Xenopus tropicalis: one gene and its partner. Each later gene encodes a partner of the first gene's protein in a complex. Links are inferred from orthologs where the notes say so. Each region holds a gene or a part of one and is shown on either strand. Other genes may lie near its edges.

What was found. Proteins that work in one complex are often made in the same cells at the same time.
Region 2: exosc3 (region 1) and exosc4 share a complex: the UniProt entries of both Homo sapiens proteins name them as parts of the RNA exosome core complex. The link is inferred for Xenopus tropicalis from reciprocal best matches to the Homo sapiens genes EXOSC3 and EXOSC4.

What each region holds. Positions count from the first base shown.
Region 1 is NC_030677.2:113,703,636-113,709,155, reverse strand, and holds part of exosc3 (exosome complex component RRP40), read left to right. Parts: intron 1-2,266; coding exon 2,267-2,416; intron 2,417-4,489; coding exon 4,490-4,641; intron 4,642-5,520. UniProt on the Homo sapiens protein: Non-catalytic component of the RNA exosome complex which has 3'->5' exoribonuclease activity and participates in a multitude of cellular RNA processing and degradation events.
Region 2 is NC_030682.2:151,308,259-151,314,921, forward strand, and holds the start of exosc4 (exosome complex component RRP41), read right to left. Parts: upstream 3,534-6,663; 5' UTR 3,530-3,533; coding exon 3,359-3,529; intron 1,773-3,358; coding exon 1,566-1,772; intron 830-1,565; coding exon 458-829; 3' UTR 1-457. Other genes in the region: E3 ubiquitin-protein ligase TRIM7, read left to right, coding at 5,218-6,663. UniProt on the Homo sapiens protein: Non-catalytic component of the RNA exosome complex which has 3'->5' exoribonuclease activity and participates in a multitude of cellular RNA processing and degradation events.

The DNA of each region.
Region 1 (5,520 bases):
ACCAGCTTTATCAACCCATGTATAACTAGCTTAAGCCTCAGAAAAACAAAATACTGCCACATGGATGAATCTGCCAAACAAGGGTCACCTTTGTTTACATGTTATTGTTTTTTGAGGCTTAAAGGGGACCTGTCATCCAGACATAAAAAGCTGTATAATAAAAGTCCTTTTCCAATTAAACATAAAACCCAAATTCTGTTTTTTATTAACATATCCATGCCCTAATATTATAAAGGCATTTAAAAATCCCAGCTGTCAATCATGTATTGCCTGCCCCGCCTCTATGCCTTAGGCATAGAGGCGGGGCAGACAATAACTTTCCATTTAGCACTTCCTAGATTTCGCTGCTTTTTTTACTTTTCCCCTCCCAGGCATCTGGTCCTACGTTCTATCACAGTGCTGTCCAACTGGCGGCCCGCGACCCCCCTCTGTGTGGCCCCCCACCTGTCTGGCTGCTTTGATGGCTTACTCTTGTGTAAGATTTAAATGGTATCAGTACTGAGATTAACTGGCCCCCTGCATGGTTCTCACGTCATATTCAGGCTGTAATCCCTCTGTATTGTTTAAACATGTAATCCCCTGTGTTGTTCACACCTTTTAGTCCCTGCATTGTTCACCCCCTGCAGTGTTCACACCTCAGGCTGTAATCACCCCCATTGTTCCCCTGTTCACACCTCAAACTGTAGGAGCAGTAGAAACCCACAAATAATCCCTGCACACTACAAAAAGAACATATACTGAGGTGGTACTGCAAATAATTTTTTTTTTTAATATATAGTTATTGTGCAGACTGTAGGAGCAGTGACAGAATTGTGTCACTGTATGCTGCCTGTGTGTGCGCCATACAGCATAGGGCAAGCAGAGTATGGCACACACAGGCAGCATAGGGCAGCAGAGTATGGCACACACAGGCAGCATAGGGTAGGCAGAGTATGGCACACACACACAGGCAGGGTAGGGCAGGCAGAGTATGGCACACACAGGCCAAGTATGGCACAAACCAGCCAAGAATGGCACACACAGTCAAAGTATAGAACACGCAGGCTGGGTAGGGAAGGCAGAATATGGCACACACAGGCAGGGTAGGGAAGGCAGAGTATGGCACACACAGGCAGGGTAGGGAAGGCAGAGTATGGCAGGTTTTTGCTGTACTACAACCATTAATATGGGTATGGTCATGTGATAACACGGGTGTGGTTTCAAGTGGGTGCGGTTTCAAAAAGGGGAGTGGTCAAAACTGGCTTCCATTATCGGCCCTCCACCACGTAGGTCGGAAAAATTCCGGCCCTCGGTAGCACCGAAGTTGGACAGCACTGTTCTATCACATAAACACACTGCTTGCTGCGATTCTGTAATTCCAAGACTGTAGTGTAAGTCAAGTTTATTTTGCTCAACTAATTTGGAATTATTTCTTAGGGTGATAGCTCCCCTTTAAGGTGGCCATACACATTCAGATTTTAGTCTTCCTCTAACGAACGTTCGGATATCGATTGTTTAAATGCGACAATCTAAAACTAAGATTTAAATTATAGGACAAAATCCTAAAATAATAAATTAAAGGATGTTTTGAAAGTAAAAGACAGCAATCGTACGAAAGTGACATCCTAGAAATGCATTCCAAGCAGGGCTGGAACTAGGGGTAGGCAGAAGAGGCACCTGCCTAGGGCGCAATGGTGGCCCCAATGGGGGCGCCAGTTAGCTTCCTCTTCTTTTACCTACCTCTAGTTCCGAACCCTGTTTCCCCACTGCAGCAGCCCTGGCAACCCCACCACCCAGTGTGCAGGCATGTCTTCTCACTTGCGCATGCAAGAGGGGAGGGGAGGGGCAAGCCGACCAGGTTGCCTAGGGCGCCTGGTTGGCTTGTCCCAGTACTGCCCCCAAGGATGTTTTGTATAATTATGTTGGTGCGTATATGTATGTATAACTTTCATTTTTTTTTTTTTTTTTATATATGGTGTAAATGTCTATATGTCTTGATGTTTTTTCCCACACAGCTTTATAAATTATATAAATACATTTTATTTTATAAACATATTTACTGATTTAACCACACGCACACTTTTACACAGTACAAACACGTGCATTTAACCACACACATACATTTTAACACACACGCACACACATACATTTTAGCTCCATTATGCTTGGGTGTATTATATTGAGATACTCATGGGATGGGGGTGCAGTTAAACTCTAAACATAATCTGTTATTGCTGTGAAGGAACAACGGGGACACACTTTAATTCTTCCACTTGTTATCTTATAGTATGTACCAGTGAAAGGAGACCATGTTATTGGAATTGTAACTACAAAATCAGGAGACATATTTAAGGTGGACGTTGGAGGCAGTGAGCAAGCATCATTGTCCTATCTGGCATTTGAAGGTGCAACAAAGAAAAACAGACCAAATGTTAAGGTAAAATGGTTTTCTGAATTTTAGAAATTTATCAATGTAGAACTCTGAGTTAGAAAGAAGTGTCCCATCCACATGCTATCATCATGGTTGTAAAGAGTTAAGGGATAGTTTACCTTTAAATTAAGGTTTAATATGTTGTACACAGTCTTCTAAGTCAGCCATTTTGTGTATTTAAATTGATTGTTATTGTAGCTGTTTGGTTGCTAGGACTTAATTGTCCCAGCAACCAAGCAGCAGTTTGAAAGTCAAAATGAAAAATGAATAGGAAAGATAAGCAATAAAAAAAATAACCATAGGAATTGAACTGCCTCAAGAAACATGGCTTAAGAACTATCAAAACGTCTGTAAAGGGAGCTACAATGTAGCAATAATGCAAAGCTCACTTAAACTATTCCACAGGACCTATTATGTGCCTGATAGACTTTGTCGAATCTACCCTACATCCTCGCCACCTTGCTTCAGGAACTGTACTTCACGAGGCACCATGTGGCACATCTGGTGGACCTGCCCAGTGGTCCAAGAACTGCGGACATTCTTACTAAACTGTTTCACACAAACATTACCCCATGTCCAAAGGTAATGCTTCTAGGACACAAACCACAAAACCTCAATAACCCAGCACAACGCCTTACACAGCACGTATGCATGGCAACAAAGATCCATATCGCAGCCCAATGGAAATCAAACTTATTATATGTTGAAAAGGTCCTGGAAAAAATTTTATATATACACACAAATGAGACTCTCAAATACCAACTGGAAAATGAAACAGAGTTATACCTGCAGATATGGGACACTTGGATACTAAATTAAGACTATGGGTAGCGTCCCTACCCCCAACCTGAGAAAAAATAATAGACAACTGTGGGAAAACGTAAACCAATAACAATGAATATCTCATACCAACACTGAAACACTGAGCGCAAAAAGTTATGTTGATTTCTGTTCTTTCTCTTTCCTTTTTTTTTTATGTTTCTTCCCTTCTCTCCCCTTATCCCCCCCCCCCTTTTTTTTCCCTCTCCCCCTCATATTGCCCTATTATGCACGTAAATATGCAGTTGAATGTAGAAGACTCTCTAAGTCTGATAATGCATCTAGCAAACAATATGCTATGTCTACAAAATATGTTAAAACTAAGAAAAATAAAAGTATACAAAAAAAAAAAAATAACCATAATTAGCCTCAAAGCCATTCTGTTTTTGAATGGATCAATTATTAGATATCATATTTGGATTCAGGCCAGAAAGAAGCAGAATAGAAAAGCTAGAAATGCTAAAACCATGAACAAAAATACAAAAAAATTGGAAAACAAGGAGAACTATACCCCCGGGCTATAAAAGCCCCCTTAACTATCACTGCCTTGACCCCCCTCACCTCTCCCTTACTGCATAGTTTCTAACTTTTAAAAATGTCCCTATCGCTAATCCTAAGCTAAAAGAGCAGAGTAGTGCAGCTGCGTACCTGGCTGACATCTTCCCTGTGAGTGAACAGTCTTCGGGTCTCTCCACCTTGCTTGTGCATACCCAGGGGGTATAGTTCTCCTTTAAAGGGGAACTTCCACATTGAGCTGATAGCCTTAGGGTTATGACCAACCATGGCATTACCTTGCCTTTTGTTTTACCGTTCCCTGGCGTAACCCACAAAAACACATGTATGGCTTGCTTCTTATTGTCATCCGTTTAGAGGATAGGTGTGATTTGTTTGAGAATTTGAAAAACAAAAAAAACGAAATAATTTGTAACTCTTTTAAACAGTTTTCAAATTACAATTACACAGAATCTCCAATGCCTTTAGGTAGTTAAGCAACAGTTGAAGCCCTGAAGACTGTATATCCCTTATGTATATCTTTTACATATGTTGATGAGACAGGTGACTGGACAGTTTGAGTAGGAGATATGTAAAGTGAGTGAAAGTGGAGTAGATGAACAAACTACATAAAATTTCCAGCTCCAGTTAATTTACATTTTTTTCAAAGCAAATCACACAGTAAAAACTGAAAGGTCCAATTAAAGACATTAAACAAACCCAGCATTTTTTTTCCTTCATTCCTAACTGAATTTTTCTTTGTTACAGGTTGGGGATCTTGTGTATGGGCAGTTTATTGTTGCTAATAAAGACATGGAGCCAGAGATGGCTTGCATAGACAGCTCCGGAAAAGCAAACGGGAAGGGTGTCATTGGACAAGATGGACTCATGTTAAAAGTCTCTTTGGGTTTAGTAAGAAAGTAAGCGACATCTTTATTTTCCCTTACGTAGTAAGCGCAAGCTAAAATGCTTGTGGGTATAAACAACTGTAACCTATAATAATTAGTTGAGTCATCTAGAAGGATCTGCTAGTATGTCAGATAGCAAAATCATATTTCATATTTCCTTCTGACGAACTACGGATATTGATTGTTCGTTTAAATGCGACTATCTAAAATTAACTAAGATTGAAACTGTAGGTAAGTCCTTAAAGTAATAAATCAAAGGATGTTCTGAAAGTAAAAGACAGCAATCGTACTAAAATTACATCCCAGAAATGCATTGTAGGTCTCCCAAGGATATTGTCAGATCATACGAAACATAGTTTTGTTGGTGCGTTTATGGCCAGCATTAAGTCAGCAGCTTATTGTTCCTATGTAAGGGGCCCTTAGGCACAAAGCAGGTTTGAGAATCATACTGGCACGTTGATGTGGCTCTCTCCTGACTGCCTCCCTGTAAGCGCAAGCTAAAATACTTGTGGGTATAAACTACTGTAACCTATAATGCTGAGCAGTTGACTCATCTAGAATAATCGGCTAGTATGTCAGATAGCAAAATCATATTTCATATTTCCTTTTTGTAATAATTGTCTCCTCCTGTGAGTAAACATACAAGGATTCAGAAATAACTTTATACATCTCTCAAAGAAGAAGTTAACCTTTTTTTTCTATCTTTAAAATTACTCTAAACAACCCCCAGAATAATACACCTTAGTCCTTGCATTCAGTCTCAACTGGTTTCTGAATTCTAAATTGAAATTTCCAGCTCCTTTCCTCTACTTCCTGGTACAGAATGAAGCCTCGCCCCTCTTCCTGCTGAGCTCTCTTCAGCAAATATTAAAAACTTGTGATTATATATTT
Region 2 (6,663 bases), on another chromosome or scaffold:
CACTTATTGTTCAGCAGCTCTCCAGTTTCAGCAGCTATCTGGTTGCTATGGTGCAACTTACCTTAGCAACCAGGGAGTTGTTTCAATGGGAGACTGGTATATGAATAGGGGAGGGGCTGAATAGAAAGATAAGGAATAAAAAGTAACAATAACAATAAAACTGGAGCCTCACAGAGCAATAGGGTTTGGCTGCCGGGGTCAGTGACCCCCATTTGAAAGATGCAAAGAGTCAGAAGCAAAAATAAATAATAAAGACCAATTGAAAAGTTGCTCAGAATTGGCCAATCTATAACATACTAATAGTTAACTTAAAGGTAAACCCACCCCATTACCTGTAATTCAAGATACAAGTCAGGCCCCACCCCCTCCTGTTTATTACGCAGTCCTGAGAGAAAGTAGATCGTCATTCGAGTGAGTTGCCTGGGCAGGAAGCCCAAACTAGCCGAGCCAATCAGATTCAAGCTGCTGTGCGGTCCCCCAGCAGGGTAGTGAGCTCCTGTAAGTGCTCCCGCACCACCTGATCCAGGACAGCGTACACATCCTTGCACGCCTTGCTCGCGGCATCCATCACCCGCTCCAGGTGATCCTCGTGCAGCCGCGAGTTCATCTCCAGCAGCGCAATCTGATCCGACTTGGGGAGGAGGGCCAGGGCGAGTTGGGGCCCTCCGGCGGCTTCTTCCACGTAGCTGAGATCCGCGAGGGGCGTGTCCTCGATGAAGCCCGCCGAGCTGGCGCACACGTAGTCGCGCATGGGAATGCCGGCGTCGATCACGGCCAGGGTGGCGGCATTCACACATGTGCAGTAGTTGCCCCCGTCTGCTTGCAGGATCTGGGCAGGGAGAGTCATGTGATCATATCCAGCGCAGCACAACACGGGAGCCAGTATGGCAGCACCAAGATACCACATACATGCACCACTGAGATATCCCCACATAGTGACTCCCAGGAACTACTCTTGGTGGCCAGGGGGATGCTGGGAATTTTAGTACAGCCCAAGGGCCACAGATTGGGGACCACTGACTAAAGGATTTGGGGGGTTCACCTTTAAGTTAACTTTTAGTACGTTATAGAATGGCCAATTCTAAGCAACTTTTCAATTGGTCTTCATTATTTATATTTTTTATAGTTTTTTATCTATTTCCCTTCTTCTTCTGACTCTTTGCAGCTTTCAAATGGGGGTCACTGACCCCGGCAGCCAAACCCTATTGCTCTGTGAGGCTCCAGTTTTATAGTTATTGTTACTTTTTATTCCTTATCTTTCTATTCGGCCCCTCCCCTATTCATATACCAGTCTCTCATTCAAACCACTCCCTGGTCGATAAGGTAATTTGGATCCTAGCAACCAGATAGCTGCTGAACAAGTGAAACAACTAAAAAACTACAAATATAAAAATGAAGACCAATTGCAAATTGCCTCAGAATATCACTCTCATACTAACAGTTTAACTCAAAGGTGAACCTCCCCTTTAAGGTCAATTTAAAGTGAAACAGCCCCTATTTAAGCCCCGCACTATTGTTACAACTTGCCGATGCCCCACCCACTGGCTGATGCCCCTCCCACTCACCTGCACGTAGATATCTATCTGTGAGCGCGGGTACAACTGGGTGAGGATGGCGGCCTCGAACGTCTGCTTTAGGTGCAGGGTCATCTCGCTGGACTTGCGGTCCCCGTGGGGGCGGCGCTTCCTCTCGCCGGTGCTGAAGGTCGCCATACTGTACTGGCAGTTCACCACTGAGCGGTCGTGGAGCATTTTACTGCGAGAGCCGCGGATCTGTGGGCACAGCGTTACGGGCACCGTTACACATGGAACTGGGGTATGGGGGCGGGACTAGCAGTGGGCACAGGCAGCCGTGTGTAGGCAGGGTAAGTATCCCAGCAGCAACCACTTACCCACCCCCATACTGTGCCAACCCCTTACCCACCCACCCCCATACTGTGCCAACCCCTTACCCACCCCCATACTGTGCCAACCCCTTACCCACCCCCATACTGTGCCACCCCTTACCCACCCCCATACTGTGCCAACCCCCCCCATTATCCCACCCCCTACTACTGTGCCACCCCCTTACACCCCCCCCATACTTGCCAACCCCTTACCCACCCCCATACTTGCCTACCCCTTACCCACCCCCATACTTTGCCTACCCCTTACCCACCCCCATACTGTGCCAACCCCTTACCCACCCCCATACTTTGCCTACCCCTTACCCACCCCCATACTGTGCCAACCCCTTACCCACCCCCATACTGTGCCAACCCCTTACCCACCCCATACTGTGCCAACCCCTTACCCACCCCCATACTGTGCCACCCCCTTACCCACCCCCATACCCACCCACCCCCATACTGTGCCACCCCCTTACCCACCCCCCATACTGTGCCAACCCCTTACCCACCCCCATACTTTGCCTACCCCTTACCCACCCCCATACTTTGCCTACCCCTTACCCACCCCCATACTTTGCCTACCCCTTACCCACCCCCATACTGTGCCAACCCCTTACCCACCCCCATACTGTGCCTACCCCTTACCCACCCCCATACTGTGCCAACCCCTTACCCACCCCCATACTGTGCCAACCCCTTACCCACCCCCATACTGTACCAACCCCTACCCACCCCATACTGTACCAACCCCTTACCCACCCCCATACTGTGCCAACCCCTTACCCACCCACCCCCATACTGTGCCAACCCCTTACCCACCCCCACTGTGCCACCCACTTACCCACCCCCATACTGTGCCAACCCCTTACCCACCCCCATACTGTGCCACCCACTTACCCACCCCCATACTGTGCCAACCCCTTACCCACCCCCATACTGTGCCAACCCCTTACCCACCCCCATACTGTGCCAACCCCTTACCCACCCCCATACTGTGCCACCCCCTTACCCACCCCCATACTGTGCCAACCCCTTACCCACCCCCATACTGTGCCACCCACTTACCCACCCCCATACTGTGCCAACCCCTTACCCACCCCCATACTGTGCCAACCCCTTACCCACCCCCATACTGTGCCAACCCCTTACCCACCCCCATACTGTGCCAACCCCTTACCCACCCCCATACTGTGCCACCCACTTACCCACCCCCATACTGTGCCACCCACTTACCCACCCCCATACTGTGCCACCCACTTACCCACCCCCATACCCACCCACCCCCATACTGTGCCAACCCCTTACCCACCCCCATACTGTGCCAACCCCTTACCCACCCCCATACTGTGCCACCCACTTACCCACCCCCATACTGTGCCACCCACTTACCCACCCAAGTAACCCAGCGGTCTCTCCCCTATAGTAATGCCTCTGAGCCATTCAGCCCGTCCGTGTGGCCCCAGCACTCACCTCATGGGGCCCATATACCACAGCCAGGGCCTTGGTGTTCCCCTGCTCGATATAAGCGGAGCCATCGGCCTGAGCGAACACTCCCATCCTGGCCCGTATCTTGCGCAGCTCCCCGGCTTTCCTGCCATCCACCCGGTAGCCCTGGTCCGACAGCAGCTCCAGCCCCGCCATCCCGCACCACGTTCTCACGGTATAAACTACAACTCCCAGAAACCACCGCGCCGCCACTTTCCGTTCCTCTTTCCGGAAGTGTCTGGGTGCCCGCCTCCACGTCACATAAAGGGGCGGTGCCAAAGTGATAGTTACTTCGTGTAGTAGAATTGCGCTTTTACCTCAGTTCGTTACAAGTGGCGCTAATTCCTATTGCTGGTCCCTATGGCGCTATTGTGCGGCCCAGTTGGGCTCTGAGCCATGTTTCCTATTTCACACTGTTATTTTCCCATGTTACTGAGCAGAAACTGTATATATATATATATTATGTTCCCCTGTCACTGTGCAGCCTACTCACCTATGGGTTTTCCCCATAGTAACCAGGAAAGGAACATTCCACTGAGCATTTACATTTTCCCTTTCACTGTAGATTCATAGTACTGACACTGTTACACAGCAAATAATTCCCTCTGCCATTTAACCTTTTATTCTTCAACCAACAAATGTATTTGTAGCTGTAATATTGGCGTGTAGGCGCCATCTCAGTGCCTTGTGCCTGAGTCTGAGCTTTCAGCCAGCGCTACACATTAGAACTGCTTTCAGCTAACCTATTGTTTCCCCTACTCCCATGTAACTGGGGGAGTCCCAAGCCGGACTTGGATTTCTTACTATTGAGTGCTATTCTGATACCTACTGGGAGCTGCTATCTTGCTCCCTTCCCATTGTTCTGCTGATCGGCTGCTGGGGGTGAGGGGGGGGGATATCACTCCAACTTGCAGCGCAGCAGTAAAGTGTGCCTGAGTCTGAGCTTTCAGCCAGCGCTACACATTAGAACTGCTTCCAGCTAACCTATTGTTTCTCCTACTCCCATGTAACTGGAGGAGTCCCAAGCCGGACTTGGATTTCTTACTATTGAGTGTTATTCTGATACCTACTGGGAGCTGCTATCTTGCTCCCTTCCCATTGTTCTGCTGATCGGCTGCTGGGGGGGAGGGGGGGATATCACTCCAACTTGCAGCGCAGCAGTAAAGTGTGCCTGAGTCTGAGCTTTCAGCCAGCGCTACCCATTAGAACTGCTTTCAGCTAACCTATTGTTTCTCCTACTCCCATGTAACTGGAGGAGTCCCAAGCCGGACTTGGATTTCTTACTATTGAGTGCTATTCTGATACCTACTGGGAGCTGCTATCTTGCTCCCTTCCCATTGTTCTGCTGATCGGCTGCTGGGGGTGAGGGGGGGGGATATCACTCCAACTTGCAGCGCAGCAGTAAAGTGAAACTGAAGTTTATTAGGGCTCAGGTCACATGGCTGTGGCACCCTGGGAAATGAAGAATATGGCTAGCCCCATGGGAAAAACAGATTACAATGCAGGATTCAGCGGGAGACGCTCTATTAACTGATGGGTTTTGAAAAAACATGTTTTCCCATGACATTATTGCTTTAATAGGAACAGTTCTGGGCTCCATCTGTTTGGGCTACTTTAGAGTCATTGGCTTTAGAGTCCTACATTGCAGATGTTTAGAGCTTGTGAAAGGTGCAGTGGCTACAAGTTGAGTGGGAAGAAGGGGTTAATAAACTGTGTGCTGAGCGCTCAGCTCCTTTCCGTGCCTCTGGCCACGCCTCCTGCCTTGGTGCCTGAGGGATCCAGTAAAACGAGTTTCGATTCTTTGTGACTCGGAGGAACTTTCCATTCTTTCTCCTTGTTCCACGATGGCGGCGGCTGCTGATGTGAGAGTCGAGGTAACGTGCACCGTGTGCCTGAACATTTACACCGAGCCCGTAACTCTGCCCTGCGGCCATAACTTCTGCCTGAGCTGCATTGGCAAAACCTGGGACTGGCAGGAAGGGATAGAGGAGCAGCCTTCCTGCCCCGAATGCAGAGAGAGATTCCGGACACGACCGGAACTCAAAAAGAACTCACGGCTGCGGAACATTGCGGAACATTTTCGTTCTGAGCAGCCAAAGCAAAACAAGACTGACATTTACTGTACCTACTGCGATGCTTCGGTGCCCGCTGCCAAGTACTGCGTGCGGTGTGAGGCTTCCCTGTGCGACAGTCACGTGCAACTACACAGCAGCGCAGAGGAACACGTCCTAGTGGAACCCACCGCCTCCCTGGCCAAGCGCAAATGCGCCGTGCACAACCGGCTGCTGGAGTACCACTGCCGAGAGGATGGCGCCTCTATCTGTGCCTCCTGCTGCCTGGTGGGGGCGCACCGAGGGCACAACGTGGAGCAGCTGAGTGAGGCCTCCGAGAAGGAGAAAAAGAAACTTAAAAAGGTTCTGGAATATCTGATCCCTGCCAAAGAGGTGACAGAGAAGAGTCTGCTGAAGCTGAAGGACAGCAGAGACAAGGTCCAAAAGAGAGCGGCTGCAGAGAGCGAGCACGTCTCTGCCCTGTTTAGAACCATCCGGGAATGGTTGGAAAGCCTAGAGATGCAGATGCTGGAGGAGATCTCCAGGCAAGAAGAGCTGCTTTCGCTTCCATTCTCTGATATGATCCAGGAGCTGGAAGCACAGAAGGAGCAGCTTTCCGAGAAAATCCATCAGATTGAGGAGCTGTGCAACATGGCAGATCCGTTATCTGTCCTACAGTCGAGGGAGTCCGATGGGGATGGGGAGGAGGAGGATGACTATGATGGTAGGGTGATGAGGTATAGACCCATGCCTAGAGTGAGGGATCTGGACCAAGATTTGATCAGCCAAACGCTACACACGGGACTGAATGATATTGTGAAGGGGGCAAAGCGAATGTGGAAATTTGGGCAGAGGGTGAAGGACCTGGAAATGGATATAAACACTGCCGGTCCTGCCGTGGCTTTATCAGAGAACCGGAAATTTGCCACCGACTGCAGAGGTGACCAGGATCATCCCCAAAGCCCCGAGAGATTTGAGCACAATCAGGTTGTAAGCACCACGGGCTTCTCGTCGGGGCGCCATTACTGGGATGTGGAGGGCAGCGAGTCGGGCAAGTGGTGTGTAGGGGTGGCCTATCCCAGCATGGAGAAGGGGGGGGATAGCTCCATGATTGGGTTTAATGATAAGTCCTGGGGTTTGTTCCAAATTGATAAGACCTTGTTGCTGGGCCTTATTCGAGGGCCTAATCATTACACGGTCTTACATAACAATATTGAATATATCTTACCTGACAATTCA